2 linked regions of the Diceros bicornis minor genome follow. The protein of the gene in region 2 interacts with the protein of the main gene of each other region in a biochemical or structural test. Links are inferred from orthologs where the notes say so. Each region holds a gene or a part of one and is shown on either strand. Other genes may lie near its edges.

Region 1 (9,934 bases), on a different chromosome or scaffold from region 2:
AGAAGCCAAGGGACGGTGGCACCTCACACATCCCGCAGTGTTCGGCAGCGACTCGACGCGCTCCCTGCAAGGCCGGCAAATATTTTGATAGTCTTTCCCTCCAGGATTCTCCTGTGGAGAACAATCGGACACAGTCGGGAGTGAGCTTCCAGCAGATTCCACAGGAAGAAACATTACATCAGTGGAGGGGAGTTTGACTCCCAGGACTTGTGGGAAGGGAAACAGATTCGGAGGCAGGGACTGCCAGATGTCTACCGTGCCCCTCAGCCCCCAGTGTGGGGCAGGGATGAGGGGAGCCCTAAGTGGACAGAGTCCAGTGGGAGCCAGACAGGGTGGTGGGTAAAAGCGCAGTCTTCGGAGTTAGCCAGACCTGGGCTTTAGGACCAACTCTGCCACCTGAGGCTGTGTGACCTCAGGCAGCTTGCTTTGTCTCTCTCTGGTCTTCAGTTTCCCCACTGTAAAATGGGGATAATAAGAGTACACGCCTCTTGGACTGGCCCTTGAGAATTAGACGCAGTAACGTCAGGGAAGCCTTGAGCCCAGGGCCTGGCTCATGCAGGTGCCGAATAACCATAAACACATTGTCCTCATGAGATCCTTCACTTTCCTTGAAATGAGCTCATGGGGTGTGTTCTCCAGTCACTGGTCTCCTTTACTGAACTTCCCTTAGGGGCCTCAGGCCCCTCACCTGACCCAAAATGTGCCTTCAGGAGAGAAGGGACAGCCCTGAGTGACGGGCCGCCCCATGGCCACAAGTTCCCTCCAGTGGAATGGAAATTCCAGGGCCCATCCCGGCAGACAACCATCTCTCCACACGTCAGCTCGCTGGGCAATGAGAAAAGCCGCACAGATCCCTGGCATGGGACATCTCTTCACAAAGGCATATTATTTTGAAAAAGATAAAACAAATATTTACGAAAAGCGAAATAATATAAAGCCATTGGAACAAAAACAGACCCGGTGCAGACCGAGCAGCACGTGGTAGAGAGTGGGTCAGGCAGGACCACAGGGGGCCTGTTTGACATGGTGGCTTTTTTGCCCTCCTCACGCCGCTTTCTGGCCCCAGCCCCAGGGCCTTTTTCGGAAAATGAATTTGCCTGTACTTTTGGTGTCTAGAGGCCCCACAGGACACGGAGGATTGCCCTGGGGCCCCACATTCTCCTGGTGACTCACCAGTCAGGCAGTGGGTACCCGAGGCAGAAGAGCCACTTCCTGTGACCCTGAGCCACCAGGTCCAACCGATACCGGCCCAACAGCTGCCTTCTCCTCTGAGAGCACTTGAGTCACCCTCAGGAGCAGGGCGGGACCTGGCCCAGTGCAGGGCTGGGTGAGCGTTGCTGAAGAACCAGGCCATGCATGAACGTGTGTTTGGGGTGAGATGCGGGGTGGACACACTGCTTTATCCACCAAGGAAACCTAATCTTCCTAAAGGTATTGACCCATGCCACCTGAACTGCAGGAGGGATGTTCTCATGGTGGAAAGTCTTGGGGCCAACACATGTCCTCTTGACACATCCCACCCCCACACGTATCCACACCACTCCAGCAGATCCCTTCCTGGAGCCGCACCCCTGCTAATACTTCCTTTACAGCGTCCAAGAGTCCTGTTTGATGTTATGAGAAGAAAATGTGTGTCTAGGTGCAGGGGTGAGTGTGGGTGTGTCTAGGGGTGTGTGTGGGGTATTCATGTAGGGAGGGAGAATGTTGACAAGAAATCCAAGCAGACGGGCCAGACAGAAGTCTTAAAAACAACCGCAGCCCAACTGTCTCCTCTCTGTGCCCCCAACTTATCAGCTCAGGCCCAGGTTCAGGGGAGGTCCGTGGCCAGCTTTGCACAGCAGCTGACCTGGTTCCCAGACCAGCTACCTGGCTTTGAGCAACAGAAGTGCCTACATGGCCACCAGGTCCTGCAGTAAATCCACGGAGTCCTTGGGCTCAGGCCTAGATCCCGCGTGGTGGGGACAACAATGTGCCCTGTCCCTGATTTGACTCTGCTGCTCCAGTCACAGAGCTCCCTCAGGGGCAGATGTGAAGCCAAAATACTTCATTAAGACTGGAGGTCACATAACAGCCCCGGCCCTCTTTGGACACTGCACGCTGGCCAGTGGCATGGAACGAACCAGGTCCCAGCCCTCCCAGGAGCCCCGGGCATCATATTTCAATGCACTTCTGCTTTAGCTACTCCCACAGAAAGGAGAGGGCTTGCTCCCCTCCGTGTTTTTAATTTCAAGAATACTGCAACCCCCTGGGGAATACTCATGTTTTCGTTACAGTCAGAGTGGCGGCTACCACACGCTTCAGACCTGATCCCAGTCGAGCTCAGAGCTGTGGTCTCCGGGAAGCAGGTGAACAGGCCTGGAGACCAGCGAAGGGATTCTGCCGTCTGTGGTGCGGGGCTGGCGGAGGAGGGCGGCGCCAGATGGAAGAGCACGCGTGCCCCGCCGTAGCACAAAGACGGCTGCTTAGAAGTCACGAGGAAATGAAATTGTGCTTGGGTCAAGCCCTCCGTTAGTTGCCAGAGGGGAGGTAGATTATATATACCTCTGTGTGGTGAGGGATGTTATTTGGAGAAATGAAGAATACATTCATAAAATAGGAAAACTACTTTTTAAAGTTATTCACTTTTGGGGCCGGCCCCGTGGCTTAGTGGTTAAGTGTGCGTGCTCCGCTGCTGGCGGCCCGGGTTCGGATCCCGGGCGCGCACCGACGCACCGCTTCTCCGGCCATGCTGAGGCCACGTCCCACGTACAGCAACTAGAAGGATGTGCAACTATGACATACAACTATCTACTGGGGCTTTGGGGGAAAAATAAATAAATAAATAAAATTATAAAAAAAAAATAAAGTTATTCACTTTTAAAGATCAGCTTTGTGTGTGTGTGTGTGTGTGCTAGAGCGTTTTAAAAAGTGAAACATCTCTGCAGGCTTTTCAATTATATACAATCATACACCGCATAACAACATTTTGATCAATGTTGGACCGCATATACAATGGTGGTCCCATAAGATCAGTACCATACAGCCTAGGTATCTAGTAGTAGGCTATACCACCTAGGTTTGTGTACGTACATTCTAGGATGTTTGCACAATGATAAAATGGCCTAAAAACACATTTCTCATAATGTATCCCTATCGTTAAGCAACACATGACTGTACACATATAATGATAATATATATTATATTTATATAACGCATTATAGTTTACAAAGTACTTTTATATGCCCATTCATTCATTCAACAAACCTTCATGAGCCCTTACAAAAATCCAGATACTTCTTAGGCCTGACTGAGAGGACACAGTGGTGAACAAGGCAGATAAGACCCTCACTTCCATTGAGCTCACTCTCTAGTTGGGGAGACAGACCATAAACAGCAGACAATGAATCAGCAAGATAAGTTCACGGAGCAACAAGTGCTTTGAAGATCATAACGTCAGGTAAGAGGCTAGAGCTGCACTGTCCAATATGGTAGCCATTAACCCCATTTGGTTATTTAAATTTAAGTCTAAATTAATTAAAATTAAATAAAATCAAACATTTAGTTCTTCAGTTCACACTAGCCACATTTCAAGTGCTGAATAGGCACATGTGGCTAGTGGCTAGTAGAATAGACATAGAATACTTACATCATTGCAGAAATTTCTAGAATAGCAATGAGAGTGACTTGGGGCTAATTTAGATTGGGTGGTCAGGGAAGGCCTCTCTGAGGAGGTGCCTTGAGTGGAAACCCCCAAAAGAGAAGAAACCAACAGCTCATGGACTTGGGTGGGGAGGGAGTGGACAGAGTCTCAGGCACTCTAGAGCAAATGTCCAAATGTAGGCATGAGTTTGGCAAATTTGAGGAACAGAAAGAAGGTTGGTGTGACTGGAGCGTAATGAGCTGGGGAGTGTGGAGAGTGGAGAACGATGAGGTCAAAAGTAGTAATAAAAACAGCTGGCGGCGGTTGAGTGCTTACTATGTGCCAGGTATCTACAAGGTTGGTACTACTGTGCTCCTTTTACAAATGAGAACACTTAGACACAGAGAAGTAGACACGCTTAGCCGAAGTCACACAGCTAGTGAGGGGACAGAGCCGGGATTTCAACTGGGCGGTATGAGCATGGAGTGCTTAGCCGCTGTGCTGCACTGCCTCTGCAAGGAGACAGGGGCTGTGTTGTGGACGCCCTGCGAGGAGCGGGGACCCTACCTGGGTGTGATAGGAAGTCACTGCAATTTTTTAGGCAGGAGAGTGACCTGATCTATGGCACTTGTAAGTGATCGATCTGCTCATAGTGGGAGAATAGATTGTAGAAGGTCAAGTGAGGGGCTGCCTCACTAATCCAGGGAACAACATCACTGTGGCTCCGACTAGGATAGCAGCAACTCTTTGTTCTTATTTTGTACAGCCTATCAGACATTACACTTGTACTTTTGATGGTTTATCTTCAAGGATTTTGGCAGATAAAACAATGCATCTTTTCTTTTCTAAAAAATCTCCGAAACTCTATAGACACACCCCAACAATCACTTAGCAATAGGAAAGCCGGTTTCTGCCCGTCTTACCTAATTCCACTTGCAGCATCTATTCTATATTCTTCAGATGGTTATTAAATTAAGCCAACGATCTCCCTAAACTGGGAAGTTGGTTCCGGTTCCACCCAGGGTTGTTTCCACAGCTAGGGGAAGGGGGCAGAGTCTTGACCCCAGTGGGACCCCAGGGTGTGGGTTTTACGTGTGGAAGAGAACATCGTGGGCGATGCAGTCTTTAAGCATCGACCTTGAGCATGTAGAGGGGCAGGTTTCAGGACTGCAGTGACAACCATGGCTCCCCAGACCAATTTAGCCCGTGACATTGACGTTGGATGTGGTGTTCGGGTTCTCAGAGGCAAACTGACAGACCCCTCCAGGGAAAAAGGCATGAATGTTATTTCACATAAATCTTCTCCAGACTCCTGCAAACGCTTGCCTAAGGTGCTTATATAAAATGCAACTTCTAACTGCCTCGAGCCCTTAATGCTCTCCCTCATCAAACTGCTATTGTTCCTTCAGACCTTCTCTTCCCAGAAGGGATGGTTCCTCTTCCAGCCACAGCTACCTTCTGAGGCCCAGAGTGTGGTGTCCGGTTTTGGGACACAGGTTCAAGTCAAGGTCACAACCCTGCAGTGCTCTCCACACCTGACACCCTTTCCCCTACGTCAGGTTATCCAATCTCTCTGTGGCTGCGCTCTTCGTCACTAAAACGAGGATAATTATTGTTAAGTATTGATCCACCTCATAGCACTGTTGTGAGAATTAAGTTAGAATTAAATAAGACAGAACAATTATCATCGTTAGCTGTTGCATCGTATTATCATTACTGGAAGGGAGAGGACAGGAAAACATGTGGCCAAGTCCAAACCCTCGTCTCAAGGCCACCACGGATAAGGATCCAGAATCACCCGGGAAACAGCTGCCCTGGAGCCTCTGCGCGTTAGTCCGAGGATTCTCCTAAGCTCCAGGTGCTGCCCCACAAGTCACTCGATGGGCTTCATCACCACCACCCCCAGCCCCGGCCACAGCATCTGCTGGCTCAGCATTGCCCTACGCTCTGGGCCAGAGCAGCAGCCGGCCAGACTGCTTCCTACCTTGCCTGTCCCCTGCCTCCCGAGGCTGGCTTCGGTCAGATGCGGTAGCTCCTAGGGGCGCCTGCGAAGGAAAGAGGCCTTCTCAGTTTGGTGTAAGGAAGTTAGGATAGTGCAGGCAAGGCTGGGGCCACTTTCCGTGGTTCTGCCGGAGGGCGAGGAACCTGGGCCTCAGGCTGGCTGGACCTGGGTCTGCGGCCTCTCCTGGCATTGCCCTCCCGGGGCTGCAGAGCTAACATCGCCCAGCCTGCCCAAATGATTCTCCGCCTGTTGTCTCAACAGCTGACGATTTAATTCTAAGTAACAGTGACTCACAGGGCAGCAGTTCCCTTTTTTGCCAGAGCAGTCTTATGTAGATTAAGCCTTCCTCCCAGGTAAAGGAAGGTCTTTACTTTTCAGCAAAGCCAGAGGGAGGCGGGCAGTGTTGTGATTAGGAGCACAGATTTAGAGCCAAATTGTCTGAGTTTGAATCTGGCTCCACCACTTACAAAGTGGTGTGGGCTTGGACAAGTTGTTTAACCTCTCCCTGCCTCAGGTTCCTCATCTGCAAAATGGGAATAATAATAGTACTTACTGCATAGAGTTCTCATCAGGGTAAATGAGTTAACATCTATACAGAGCTCAGAGCCAAGCCTGGCACATTGTAAGAGCTTATATCAGTGTTTGATAGGTAAATGGCCAATAATGGGGAATTGGTTCTATATAATGGAATAGTACATAGCCTATTAAAATCCCTATCATAGAAGAATAGTAATATGGAAATACATTTACGATCTATTAGTAAGTGAAACAATGGACTCTAAAACAAACGACAGTGTACTATTATTGTTGAAAAAAAGAAAATAAATCTTTATACATTGAAAAATACACTAAAAGTATATACACCAAAAGGGTGTTTTTCTGTCTTCTAAAATTTCTGTGTTCTGTGTTACTTTAGTAATAAAAAACAATAAGAAAACAATAAAAATTATTCAGTAATAAAAACAATAACAATTATTCAAATGTAGTAGATGTGCATAATCCATATTAAACAATCATGCTTTAAAATGATGATGATGATAATAATGGTCTGACTGTCCCTAAGCCTAGATCATTCAGAGCTGAGGCTGCGAGGTGATCACCACCATATGCTTTAATGATTAGCCAAATGTTATCATCAAAAAGAAAAAATAATAATATTACATGATTATATGGATATGACACACTATTTTCCTTCTGGGGGTAATCAAAAGCTAACCATACCAACACAGCCAGATTTAAATCTTCCTTAAGCAACAGGTGACCACATATGTGAACTAAACAAAGAAGCAAATGGCACTGTGTACAAGCAATGAATTGAGTGTGCTTTGCAAGGTGGTGAGTGAAGGGGGTGTCTCAAAAGTTGCGTGCATAGACAGGAGGAGTGGGGTGGGGAAGCATTCCTCCAGCCATTGAGTCAGAGGTTTCAAGAAGGAAACAGAACTGCAGTGGCTGCTAAAATAAAGGAAGGAGATAAGCATCTCCTTCTACTGCTCACTTGTGTAGAACTTGAATGGAGAAAAGAATAAGTCAAGAACTACCTCTGAACCCTGACCTTCAGGAATGAGCAGACTTCTCTGTCAACAAGCTACTTCTTACTCTGCTCCCGGGTCTTAGAAAACAATTGAAATCCCAAACACGCTGCATGTGGGCTCTGATGGATGGGACTAATGTTAAATTGAACCCTCTGTGTATCAAAGAACAGGTGGTAGGATGAAATCCAAAACTGTCTTAACCTCACTTCCAAGGTGCCTCGTCTGACTTTGCCTGCTTTTCTCATTAACACTCAGTCTCATGAACCCCTTTCCCAAATCCAAGCAAAAGTGGGTCCTTTGCGAGTTGTCATGACCTTGTTCATCTCCATATTTTTAGCTTATAAATTCTCTCCCCAGCATTCTGTTACTCTCAGAAGATGTGAAGAGCTTTGAAAGAAAAACAAAATTATAGTTGCAAATTCTGAAATTGTGCTGGCTGAATGAAACTTTTGACTGACAGAAACTGGTTTCAGTTCCCCCTTCAATCTTTTCAAATCTTACCATCATAAAGTCCCTCGTGTTACTGACCCTATCGACAAACCTCATTGACATCCACATGGAAAAGATCATTGCAATAATCTCCCAAACACCTGAACTGGCTGGAATTGCTTCTTTCTTTCCAAAGAACCATGAGGTCCTGGGCTGCCTGGGCCCCTCCCAGGGCTGTGCCCAGTGCACAGGCAGGAGGAGGTTGGCAGGCTGTTATGTTTTTCAGCAAAACAGCCGACAGTGATTAGAACACTCAGATGCTTTCTGTTGATGCTTGTGGGGGATCAGCTTCTAAGCTTTGGACTTGTAAAAACAGGGGTCACAGATTTTGTATCAGGAGAATTGATTGCACATTTGAAGAAGCAATGAAAAGAATCACTAGGAGAAGTGCCACAGTATCCTGAAAAAAATCCTCACTGTGTTTAGAGAAGGGAGGGCCCAGGAGCCCAGATGAAGTCAGAGCTTTTTCCCTTCCAAGGGAGCATCTGGTTCAAAGCTGCAAAGAAGAAAGGAAGGGGGTGTCCACAGGCCTCTTGAGTGGAGCGCCCCTAACTGCTAGGGCACATGTTTTAACACCAGGGCTTCTTGGAGGTGGGGGTGTCTCCCTCGTCCTTTCCGTAGGACCTGGTTTCTGACCCCAAGAGTGGGAGAGGCTACACTGATTTACAGCCGCCTTTCTCCCCCTTCTTTCCGATCCTCCCAGTCTGCGGTCTGTTCAAAGCACACTCAAGGGAAAGAGACGCCAATGAATCTGCCTACCTGGGAAGTGGTTTTCAGCAAGCACTGACATTCTGACACACACTTTGTCTTAAAATGGGTCCCTTATGCTTCAGTGGAGCGGGGCTGTGATCTGTGCAGGTGTTTCCAGTGGCTCCCAGAACACAGAGCCCTCTCTCTCAGTGTAGGCGACACTGTATAAGGATGTCGTCAGCTACTAGCGTTAGATTAGGATTGACAGCGGTGAGTGCTCAACAGGCAGCCGTGCTCTCAATTCTCCCCTAGAACAGCAAGAAGGAGGGAGGGGACTATCTCTGGACTAGAGATGGAGAGATAAAGAAGAAGGCAGTTTAGATGGAAAAGCTGTTGTGTTTTTAAAAAATTCTCTTTATCATTTATAGATTTTAGATTGGTGGGAAAAACTCTTTATCTGATCAATGCAACCCTTCTCTGTAAGGACAGGAGTTTTGTTCCTATACCATTATCTTGGTGCAATCTATTTCCTCGATGGAACATCATGTAATTCTTTTACATCTCTTTCTCAAATATATATTTTTTAAAACAAGAAAAAACATGTTATCTTTCCGTAATCAAGTCAAAATGAATAGATCTGTTCAATGCTGCGTTTTCTTTGCTTTCTCCCTGCAAAGCTGTTTTGGGAAACATTCATATCTTGAGACTCTTTTTCACTAGACAAAAAAGGTTCGGCCAGCTTGACCAAATTCACGAGGGAACGAAGTAAGAGTCCAGGTGCCCCAGTATTTTTAAAACAGTATAAATCCATTCCTGGTGGGACAGGGGTGAAAGGGTGAATGATGAGAACCAAGCGAGTCTGGCTAAGGTGTAGCCTCCTTCCCCGCACCCGTGCCCCTGTTTCTGTCTTTGCACCTGCTGGAGGGGCCAGTCCGGGAAGCCAGGCAAGCATAGCTATGCTGTGCTGGCGTAGCTGGGCTGGAGAAGCCTTCCCCCTGCTGGGCCAGGTGTTTGCCACCTCTTCTTTGCCCCTGGAAGAGTACTTTTGAGCAGGGAGAACTAAAACCCCAAAGTCACTAATTTGGAGAGATCTTATCTCAGCAGGGCTAATCAGAGAACTCTGTGTAGAGCCTGAAGAGCCCGCTGAGCTCTGCCCCCCAGGCAAGCACATTTCCAGCATTCAAGCTGTGATTCTCACCACTCTTCTAAAGGATGGATGTTACGGTTGAGAATTCCCTGAAGCCGGCAGCCCTTCCACAAGTCACGGCAGTCCCGCGCGATGGCTGTGAATTCAAATCCCTGAGCCGTGACTGCTTTCCTGCTCCGCGTTAGCTGCTCCCCTAATCCCACTCATCTCCCGCTCTCAAGCTGTTTATTGTCAGTTGAAGTGGCTGTTCCATTCCTTGAACCCTTAACACAGTGTTTCATGACTGAGTTTCCCAGGCTTTCCAAACACCAGTGTCTCTAAGAGCCTCCTACTCCCTCTTTACGCCTCCAACTCTCTTTAAGTGACATTTTGCAAACTTCCTTGGCTCCTCTGTGGCATCCACTCCCTCTTTCCTTTTCCATCATTGCTCCCTGCCCCCCCCAACCCCGCCTCCC
Region 2 (9,934 bases):
TCTCTGGCCATGCTGAGGCTGGATCCCACATACAGCAACTAGAAGAATATGCAACTATGACATACAACTATCTACTGGGGCTTTGGGGAAAAAAATAAAAGGAGGAGGATTGGCAATAGATGTTAGCTCAGAGCTGGTCTTCCTCAGCAAAAAAAAAAGAGGAGGATTAGCATGGATGTTAGCTCAGGGCTGATCTTCCTCACAAAAAAAAAAAAAGAAAAAAAAATTTCGTTAAAAAAAGAATTAAAGAAATACAATGAGATATCATTTTGAATTCATGGCAAATTGAAAAATTGGACACTTGAATAATGTCAAGTATTGACAAGGAAGTGTGGATATAGAAATCCCACTATTGATGATGTGATAGTCCAGAGAGTGTGGAGCTCAATATGCACGAGAAATGATCACAGAACCAAAGGAGACAGGTAGGAGGATATTCTGCAGCATAGCTCGCGATGGCAGGAAGCTGGAGGCAGTCATTGGATAGTGAACAAATAAAGTATAGGGATCTGGCAGTAGTTAGGAGCAAAGGACTAGAAGGCCATGGGGTCAAAGAAGGTTAATTTGTTTTGTTTTATTTTTTTAAGGTGGCAGATAGGACAGCACGTTTGTATGCGAACAGGAATGATCTAGTAGAGAGGAAAATTGATAATAGAGGAGAAAACGGATAATGCAGGAGAAAGGCAAGAAGGAATGGACTGAGGTGTAGCACTGAGGATGGGGGTGGGGGTGAGGGTTGGGGGAGTGACAGTTGGCTTAAAGAGCAGCAAGGACCGTTCATTGTAACAAGACGGAAGTCAAAGTATAGAAGTGAGGATGGAGGTAAATTGGCCAGATTGGTGGTAGAAAGATAAGGATGTTTTCTTTTGATTACTTTTATTTTCACAGTAGAATAAGAACCCAAGTTATCAGCTAAGAGTAAGGAAAGATAAAGGGATGGTGGATAACTGCAGAGAGCTTTGGTAAATAAAGCCTCTCTCCCTTCCTTTATTCAATCAGGGCAGCACCCAACAGAGACGGCCCCTTACTTGTCGGCTTTATCCAGTGTTTATAACCCTGATGCTTAGCATGATGTATTGAAGAATGGATACCAGCAAGCACACCCTGGGATCTAGTTGGGGAGGGGAGGGGTGGAGTTGGTGATCACAGGAAGAAATACTGCTAGTATTCATGGAATGCTTCTTAAAGGTCAAGCACAATGAGGTAAAGAAGAGCTCTACCTGCTTTTTCTTATGAAATCCAAACAACAAACTTATAAGTAAACACAACTGTTCTACAAACAAGGAAACTAAGGAGGGTTTCCTCCTTCAGAACCAGGGCCTTGAACACTAGTGTGAGGTGGATGAGTAATCAAATGAAAGGCCCCTGAAGTGGTGTTAGCTCAGTTATCTGGTGGGAGTTTGATTCTGAGCAGATGAAGCTCCAGTCTCAGTGGGACATAAGAAATCCTAGGTAGGGGCCGGCGCCGTGGCTCAGCGTTTAAGTGCACGCGCTCCGCTGCTGGCGGCCAGGGTTCGGATCCTCGGCGTGCACGAGGTGCCGCTTCTCCCGCTGTGCTGAGGCCGCGTCCCACATACAGCAACTAGAAGGGTGTGCAGCTATGACATACAGCTATCTACTGGGGCTTTGGGGGAATAAATAAATAAATAAATTTATTTAAAAAAAAAAGAAATCCTAGGCAAAGGGGCCGGCCTGGTGGCGCAAGCGGTTAAGTGCCCCCGCTCCGCTGCCTTGGCTGGGGGTTCGCCAGCTCCGATCCCGGGCGCGCACTGTCGCACTGCTTGTCGAGCCATGCGTCCCATATAAAGTAGAGGAAGATGGACATGGATGTTAGCTCAGGGCCAGTCTTCCTCAGCTAAAAGAGGATTGGCATGGATGTTAGCTCAGGGCTGATCTTCCTCACACACACAAAAAAGAAAACCTAGGTAAAAACCTGCACCCCTTCTCCTGATCATCCACTGTCACCAAGAGGATGACCTTGGCGAAGTCATGCATTTCCAGTTCTGTAAAATGGAGAGTGATGTCACCTAGCTCACATAGTTTTTGTAAGTGAAACATTCTCTAAGTTTGAGGCAACGCTTGCAAGTGAGGTGGTATATGTATGTATATGTTAATGTTTCCTGGTTGCTATTACTATTTCAACTGTTATGCAAGTGGTCAAGGCAAGGCCAACGCCCCAGGGGCAAAGGTAGCCTCCAGCAGAGAATGGGCTTCTAGAGTGCATATCAGTACGGAGAAAGTTTAAAGAATTTTAGCCCGCAGTCTTGGTTCGGAGTGAGAGGCGAAATTTTTCTTCATCGAGGCTTAACTGTTATTGAAGTTTTCAGGCTTGAAACTCTGGGGAAAATAATTAGGCTCTCTGGGCGAGATCCAGAATGCCAATTTAAGAGATTAGAAATGCAACGCCGTGAGGGGCCTCACTGCCGCCCGTTGGGCACCAGAGGGCGCCCGTCGGATCCGTTCGGAGGCCGGCAGGGTTTGGGGCAGCCACTCGCCGTGCACCCGACCACCTCGGGCCAGGATCCAGGAGCTGGTGCTGAGGTGTCAGGGGTCCACGTCATTAGTGGACGCAGTCTCTAGTGCCCCTTCCCCCTTTCCAGCGCGAGCCGAGGCTCGGAAGGCGCCTGGGAAGGTGTGAGCGCCTGTGGTGGGGACGGTGTGCCCATCTGGGTCCGCAGAACAGCGGCGGGAACTCCAGCCGCCCCGACGGCGCGGTCAGACTCCAGCGTGGAAGGGGAGGCAGCTGTTCTCCCAGGCGGCCGTGGGGGGCAGCAGAGGGGACGGCGACAGGTGCGGGAGCCCCTCCCGGGGTGGAAGTGGAAAGGCGGGCTTCGGGGTCTGTTCCCAGGCTGGAAACCACCCCCGCCCCCCAACCAAATCCCCGGGAGAGGCCGGGCCGGCGCCGGTCTGGAGGAGGAAGCGGCCGGAGACAGTGCAATTTCACGCGGCCTCTGGGGCTCAGGTTCCTCGGCAGGGTGGATGAGTTATGGGGTTTCGAGGGGTTTCCGGGGAAACTGAGGTGGCCTGAGCGTGAGGCAAAAATACCCTCCCCCTCAAAAACACACACAGAGAAAAACATCCACATTCGAAGACAAAATCCCCCAAGTGACCCAACCGGCTAGGGGAGTTGAGTGATTTGGTTAATGGGCGAGGCCAACTTTCCGAGGGCTGGGCTTTCGCGCGCTCTCCCCACCCCCATTACCTTTCTCCTTCGGAGGCATTTGGGGCGTTTGGAATCTTTACGTTCCCTTAGTCCAGCTCCTGAAGAAAATTAGGGGGAGACCCATCCTGGATCTGCTGGGCCAAGTCGCGGGGCAGTGGGGCGTGGGGCGCGCGGGGCGGGCCGTCGGAGGCGGCGGCAATCCCTATCCAGCCTCGCGCCGGAGGGGGCGCGGCCGTGACTCACCCCCTCCCCCTGCCTCCCTCCTCCGCGCTCGCAGACACACACCCTCCCCTGCCATCCCGCCCCGGACTCTGGCTCCGGCTCCGGTTGCAGTGTGTAACCTCCTCTGCCGCCGCTACCAATTCGCTGGCGGCTCAGGTGGCTCCGCTTCGATGTCCTAGTCCAGGGGCCCCCCGGGCCGGATTCGGCTGGGCTCCCCTCACCCTCCGCTAGCGTTATGAGGGCGAACCGGGCTCTGCAGGTGCTGGGCTTCCTTCTCAGCCTGGCCCGGGGCTCCGAGGTGGGCAACTCGCAGGCAGGTAAGCGGCGCGGGAGCACGGGCAGCTCGGACCCTGGGGTCCGAACCGAGGACGCGGAGCCCTGGAGGGCAGGGGCTCCCGCAGTGTGACGCTCGGGGTGCTGACCCTGGGTCCGCTGGGACCACCTGGGCGGGCACTGCGACGCTGGGGTTCTCGGCGTGGTCCGGGCGGGGACGGCATTCCTGGACCACCACCACCTCCTCCTCCCCAGCGCGTCGCTGACCCTCGAATTTGTCTCTCCGGATAGGGCTGGTGCCCAAACAGTTCACACTTATGAGGGGCCCTGCCGGGAGGGGAGCTGGGACCTCCATTCTGCAAACTTGAGGAGGTGATTGGAGGTGGAGAGCTTGGCTGAACGGGGGGGGGGGTGTCTCAGTTTGCTCCCCAATGCCCTGCTCCCCCTGGTTTCAGCACCCGCCAGTTTCGTTGTTTTGCCGACAGGGCGGAGCTATGGAAGGGTTGGAGGGGGTTGTTGTTCTCTGGTGCTGGAAAAACAAGAACGGCACCTCCTCTTCCGTGAGTGGGCCTGCCCTGGGGAGGGCTGAAATTAACCAGAGGGCCACGTCCAGGTAACATCAGGGTGAGAGGCCACGCAGAGACTGACTGCCCTCTTTCCCTCAAAATAATAAAGCTAGTTGGTCCCCGACTTGACCAACCTCTCTTTGTCAAGATCCAGATCAATTCAACGAGTATTTATTGAGCATCTACTATGTACAAGACCCTGGGCCGGGAACTGTAGAGTAAAGGACTTCCAGCCTTCTCTCTGTCTTTTCTCTCCCCAACCCGAGGATCAACAGGGCATCTCTCCCACCTTCTGAGCCTCCTGTCCTGGGGAGTCCTTCCTAGACCCAGCTTCTCACCCACCCCCATTCTGTTTATTGTTTGACTGTCTCTAGGACTCTGGACTAAAGTCAGATTGCTCTTCTATTCCTCCTCCCACTCCCATGCCATATGAGCCCCCTCCCCCTTTGGGGCATCTCTGGGACAATGGACACCTGAGGGGTGCTGGTATTGCTGGCATTGGAGGAATCCTGTTGATCTTTTCCCTTCCCCCCAAGATCTCAGCTTGGGGTTTGTCACAGCCAGGGCCCCTTCCCCAGGGTGGGAGTGGGAGAAACACCTGTGCTTCCCCCACAGTTGCTGGGCCTAAATTTAGACCCTGGGATCTTGAGATGTGAACACTCCCAGCTGGTGGAGGGCGGGGGTCTGGGGACTGGAGTGGGAGGGACCGAGTAGAGTGACTGTATCACTGTCCCATCCAGACCCCTGGAATCTTCAACCAGGAACCCAGGAGTCCCAGATCCTGGCCACCTTCCCATAGGGCGCCAGGAGGCAGGCATGGTTGGGTCTCTTTACCCTTTATCTGGATCCTGCAGCCTCTGGGCATCCGGCCCTGTCTCGGTCCTTCTATAGCCCCTTTGTCCTGGCTGTGATGGGGGTGGGGGATGTTGGAGAGGAGGCCTCTGGTTGAGGAGGGGCTGGAGATTCTTGCTCTGACCCACCCCAGTGCTCTCTACCAAATGAGGGCCTGTGACACTGCCCCTCCCTATGCCCCTGGTCCCTGAGTACAGCAGGGATTTTTATAACTCCCTTCCCCCTGCCTTCCTCCCCAAGCTGCTGGGTTCCTCCTCAGAGGTGTTGTTCTTACTCCCTTCCCGCCCAGGCCCTTTGCTCCCTGTTTGTGTAATACGGACTTTACCCTCAGGGTGGCAGGGAACTGGGACCTCTAACACTGTAGCCTTCCAAGCACAGACACCAAGTCTGCCCAAACATATATGGGCAGGTGAGATGGATAGGGTCACCTGAAATACTTCCCATTAAGGAAACCCAAGGACAGAACCAGTCTAGATTTCTGGGCCAGCAAGGGAGCTATGTACATGTTCCTCTGTATGTGTGTGTGTGTCTTGAGTGCGTGCATGTACACATACACACACACCACTTCCTTCTGCAGAAATCTTGGCTCCTCCCTTATCTAGGGAGAAGAGTTGGCGCCTTGACTTGGAAGAGGGGGTGTCCTGCCAGGAAGGGGGTTGGGGTGGGGCTGTTCCAGAAATGACTAACCTTCCTAGCCTCTTTCTTTTCAGCCAAAGGACCCTGGAGTTCCTAGGCTCCTCTGGTTGCTTTACCCCTTTACCCCTCTGCTGGGTCTAGCCCACCCCTTTCCCTTTGTGGGGGAGTGATGGCGAATGAGAGCCCTCAAAAGTCAAGTGGTCAGACTAGGGGTGTATCTAGGAGACATTGGGGCCTCACCAATCTCCCTCCATTTCCACTCCTGCCTCCCACTGAGCTCCACCGCCTCAGGGAAGGGTGGTTGGAACAGGTGGTATCTCCCCCCCAACCCATAGTCTTTCACTGAGCCAGAGGAAAGAGACAGGGATAGGAGTTCAGGGTCCAAGATTTCCCATAGCCCCTATGTTCTCCATACTTACAAGGTAAAGTGAACCCCCAAGACTGACACCCCTCATGAACCTCAAGTCTAGGCACTCCCCCGACGTGAGTGGGGGTTGCCATGTTGGAGGGCTTTTTAATGAATCTCTTCTGACAATGAAATTGAGTGGAAGGCTCAGAATGGGGGGAGTCTGCTGCTGTTTCCCTCCAGGCTTCTTTGTATTTGCTGAAAAATACTCTTGGGCTGGAAAGTGTGATGCTGAGGGAGCTGGAGTGTGTTGGGATAGGGGAAGGGAGTGAGAAGGGAAGCCAGGGTTTAGGAAGGGGGGACAGGGTAGGCAACCAGCTCTTTATCTTCTAGCTTTGAAGACAAAGCTCACATTGACCCCACCACCACCACCACCAGAGCTCCCCCCTCTGGTGAGGTCACTTGTCTGAGCCCAAGGCTTAAGCGTAGAGGGGGGGTACTGCTGAGGACAGGGTGTCTGGGGACAGGGTGGGGCAGACCCCTCCTCCTAGATAGAATCGCCTCATTGTGGGCTGGACTGTGGCCCCAGGCAGTGCCCCCACCCTCTGCCCCCATCCCACCCTCAGTAGACACAATAGGGGCTGTGTGCTAGCCCCAAAGAGATATTTATTCCCAGATCCAGAGAGGCAGGATGGGAGTAGAGAAGTAAGTGCCCTGGTTGGAGTAGGGGAGGGGAAGAGGGGGGGAACCAAGTCCTGGTCGTTTTCTAAAACTTCTTTTTAGGGAGGGGGAAAAAACCTACATCCTCCTAGATTAACCTCTTAGTACCTGAAAGAGACACAGAGGAGGTCCTGGTGGAAAAAGGAAACCTTTCACCTTCCTGTTCAGAGGAATGGTGAGGGGATTCTGAGAGAAGAGGAAGTTCAGGCTCTCAGTCCAACATGGGCCTTTGTGTCTCTCTGTAGGGGTGAGGGTTGGAGGCAGCTGCCTTCTGAGGCTGTTGAATGTTACTGGAAGAGGGTGGCCAAAGGGGTGGCCTTGGAAACTTGTGTGCAGCCCTCTGCCCCTCTTACCTCTACTTTGAACAGTGTGTCCTGGGACTCTGAATGGGCTGAGTGTGACTGGCGATGCTGAGAACCAATACCAGACGCTGCACAAGCTCTACGAGCGGTGTGAGGTGGTGATGGGGAACCTGGAGATTGTGCTCACAGGACACAATGCTGACCTCTCCTTTCTGCAGGTTAGAGTGCCCAGCCCCCTTCCTCAACCTGTTCCCCCTTGTCAACCCTCCAGAAGCCTCCTTCCCTTCCTTGGGGCTACCCTCTGCTGGAGTTCAGCGTTCCTAAGACTCCATAGTTGCTAAGATCCAAACCTGTGTGTTTATGGGACAATGACTGGAATCTGGGACTATGGTCTGGTCGCTGTTCCAGGGATGGAGAGGGGCTGGTCATGAGAAGGGGGCAGGGGCAGGTGGTGTTCCACACCAGGCACTAATGTAGAGACACATCTGAGGACTGAGAGGCACCTGGGGAGATGAGGAAGGGTCTATGCAAGGGCCCTCTGGCATGAGGAGCTCTGAGCAGGAAAGGGTAGGAGGCTAGAATTCCTCCATCATTTCTGCTCCCTGTCTTTACTTGCAGAAGGGACACAGTAGTGTGACACTGTCTACACTCTACTCCAAAATAGGAATTAGAAAGAATTAGAGGAGTTAGGGATTCCTTAACGCCTTAGGGAGGGAGAGGGATTGAGACTTTTTGCCCTGCTGTTCCTTTCACTGACACGGTCTCCTCTATCACAGTGGATCCGAGAAGTGACCGGCTATGTCCTCGTGGCCATGAATGAGTTCTCCACACTGCCACTGCCCAACCTCCGGGTGGTGCGGGGGACTCAGGTCTACGATGGGAAGTTTGCTATCTTTGTCATGTTGAACTACAACACCAATTCCAGCCATGCGCTGCGCCAGCTCCGCTTCACTCAGCTCACTGGTCAGTTCCTGATGGTTCCCTTTGGCCTTGCCCCTCAGCCAGCCTGCTGGCAGGCACCTCCTTGATGATGACCCAAGACTGCTCACTCTAAGTGCCCCTTGCAAGGTGCCCACCACTTTGACCACTGTGGTCTAAAGGTCCACTGCTCCTGAAATAATAGAGGGCCCCAGGAGGGAGCTGGGGTGTCTGCCCCAGGGGGAGGGTCCTTATGTGCTGGTGGGGCTGGAGTTGGAGCTAGATCTGTCACCCATTCCTCTAACTTCAGAATACAGTGTCCCTTGATGTCCCTCCTCCCTGGGAATGGGAATCCTACCTCCTCCTCCCTCACAGTTCTCCACAAGCTGAAGGAATATAGGGGTTAAATACCACCTGGCCACCTTCTATTTCTACCTGTCCCAGTCAGTTGGAAAACACACACGTAGGGTGGGAGGGTGAGTCAGGGATCTTCTCTCCTTCTTTCCCTTCCCCTCCCCCACTGGCTAAACCGGATCTGGACAGGTGTCTGAGGAGGCAGGAGTTTCTTTTGGCTTGGCTCCTCCTCCATCTCATGAGGCGAGCTTTCTCTGCAGTTTGGATTTAAGTGGACCTACCTGTCGGCCCGTTTCCCTTGCTCCTGAGTCTCGGGTGTCCGTTTGGACTGGTGGGGAGGTAAGGAAGAGGAGGTCTGCTGTAGCCCTTAACCCTGTCACTTTTCTTCTCTACCTCAGAGATTCTGTCAGGGGGTGTTTATATTGAGAAGAACGATAAACTTTGTCACATGGACACAATCGACTGGAGGGACATCGTGAGGGACCGGGATGCCGAGATAGTGGTGAAGGACAATGGCAGGAGCTGTGAGTGGCCATGATCCAGACTGTTCCCCTTGCCCCCACCCAACCAGAGTGACTTCTTTCCCATCATCATTGTTTTCCTAATCCAAACCACCTCTCCACTGAACAAACACCTCAGGCCCTAGATCCAAGGAGCCTGCCGGGAAGGAGCAGGTCAGTCCCCTAGAATCTAAACCGCAGAAGCGGTGTGTCAAGAAAAGCAGCAAAAGATCTCTGTGTGCTAAGTGGGGAAGCCAAATCTTTGGACTCCACATCCATCTCTCTTTCCACGACAACATAGTCCTTTCTCCTTGGAACCTACCTACCCCTGACTGCAGTGTGCTGCTCCCTGTGCACTCACGTGCACACACTCCTCCTGTGCTCAGTTTGCCAAGGAGGAGCCAAGTTCCTGGGTTGGGACTGGGGCTGAGCTTGGCGTTTGCCCAGGCCCTCCCCTTCAGCTGCCCTGTGGGTGGTGTGGAGGCGTGGCTCCACCCCTTGTTGACAGGTTCACTTGAGCCCAGCCCTGCCCTGCAAGGGTGAGGAGGGACACTGCCCTGGCTCTTCGCTGCTCCGGACCAGGGTGCCTGTGTGCTGACATCGTGCTGTGTTGATTCCAGCAAGCCTTTCTTAGCCCTGACAGTCTCCTGTGTTGCTTTCCTTCCCAACTAGGTCCCCCCTGTCATGAGGTCTGCAAGGGGCGATGCTGGGGTCCCGGACCGGAAGACTGCCAGACATGTGGGTTTACTTTCCTCTCAAAATTTCAAATGCATACACTTTCATATCCCTGCACCCCCCAGCCTTTGTCATCACTGGGGTAGGGACAAGCTTAGAGGGCAAGAGGGTGAGCATTGGCCTCAGAATACAGTCCTAAGAGCCCTGATAGCCGTGCTTTCTCTGTTTCCATAGTGACCAAGACCATCTGTGCCCCTCAGTGTAATGGCCACTGCTTTGGGCCCAACCCCAACCAGTGCTGCCATGATGAGTGTGCAGGGGGCTGCTCAGGCCCTCAGGACACAGACTGCTTTGTACGTACTGTTGCCACCATTGCCTGGGTTCTGAAATGGGAATATGGGCTTTGG

What was found. The genes of interacting proteins can lie anywhere in the genome.
Region 1: the proteins of ERBB3 (region 2) and BCAR3 form a complex in vitro, tested with the Homo sapiens proteins (2 studies listed by BioGRID and IntAct, with this or other methods). The link is inferred for Diceros bicornis minor from reciprocal best matches to the Homo sapiens genes ERBB3 and BCAR3.

Annotation. Positions count from the first base shown.
Region 1 is NC_080743.1:29,778,795-29,788,728, forward strand, and holds the start of BCAR3 (breast cancer anti-estrogen resistance protein 3), read right to left. Parts: upstream 5,785-9,934; 5' UTR 5,604-5,784; intron 1-5,603. UniProt on the Homo sapiens protein: Acts as an adapter protein downstream of several growth factor receptors to promote cell proliferation, migration, and redistribution of actin fibers.
Region 2 is NC_080756.1:12,677,892-12,687,825, reverse strand, and holds the start of ERBB3 (receptor tyrosine-protein kinase erbB-3), read left to right. Parts: upstream 1-3,397; 5' UTR 3,398-3,620; coding exon 3,621-3,702; intron 3,703-3,949; exon of another isoform or gene 3,950-4,030; intron 4,031-7,146; coding exon 7,147-7,298; intron 7,299-7,856; coding exon 7,857-8,043; intron 8,044-8,750; coding exon 8,751-8,876; intron 8,877-9,524; coding exon 9,525-9,590; intron 9,591-9,761; coding exon 9,762-9,880; intron 9,881-9,934. UniProt on the Homo sapiens protein: Tyrosine-protein kinase that plays an essential role as cell surface receptor for neuregulins.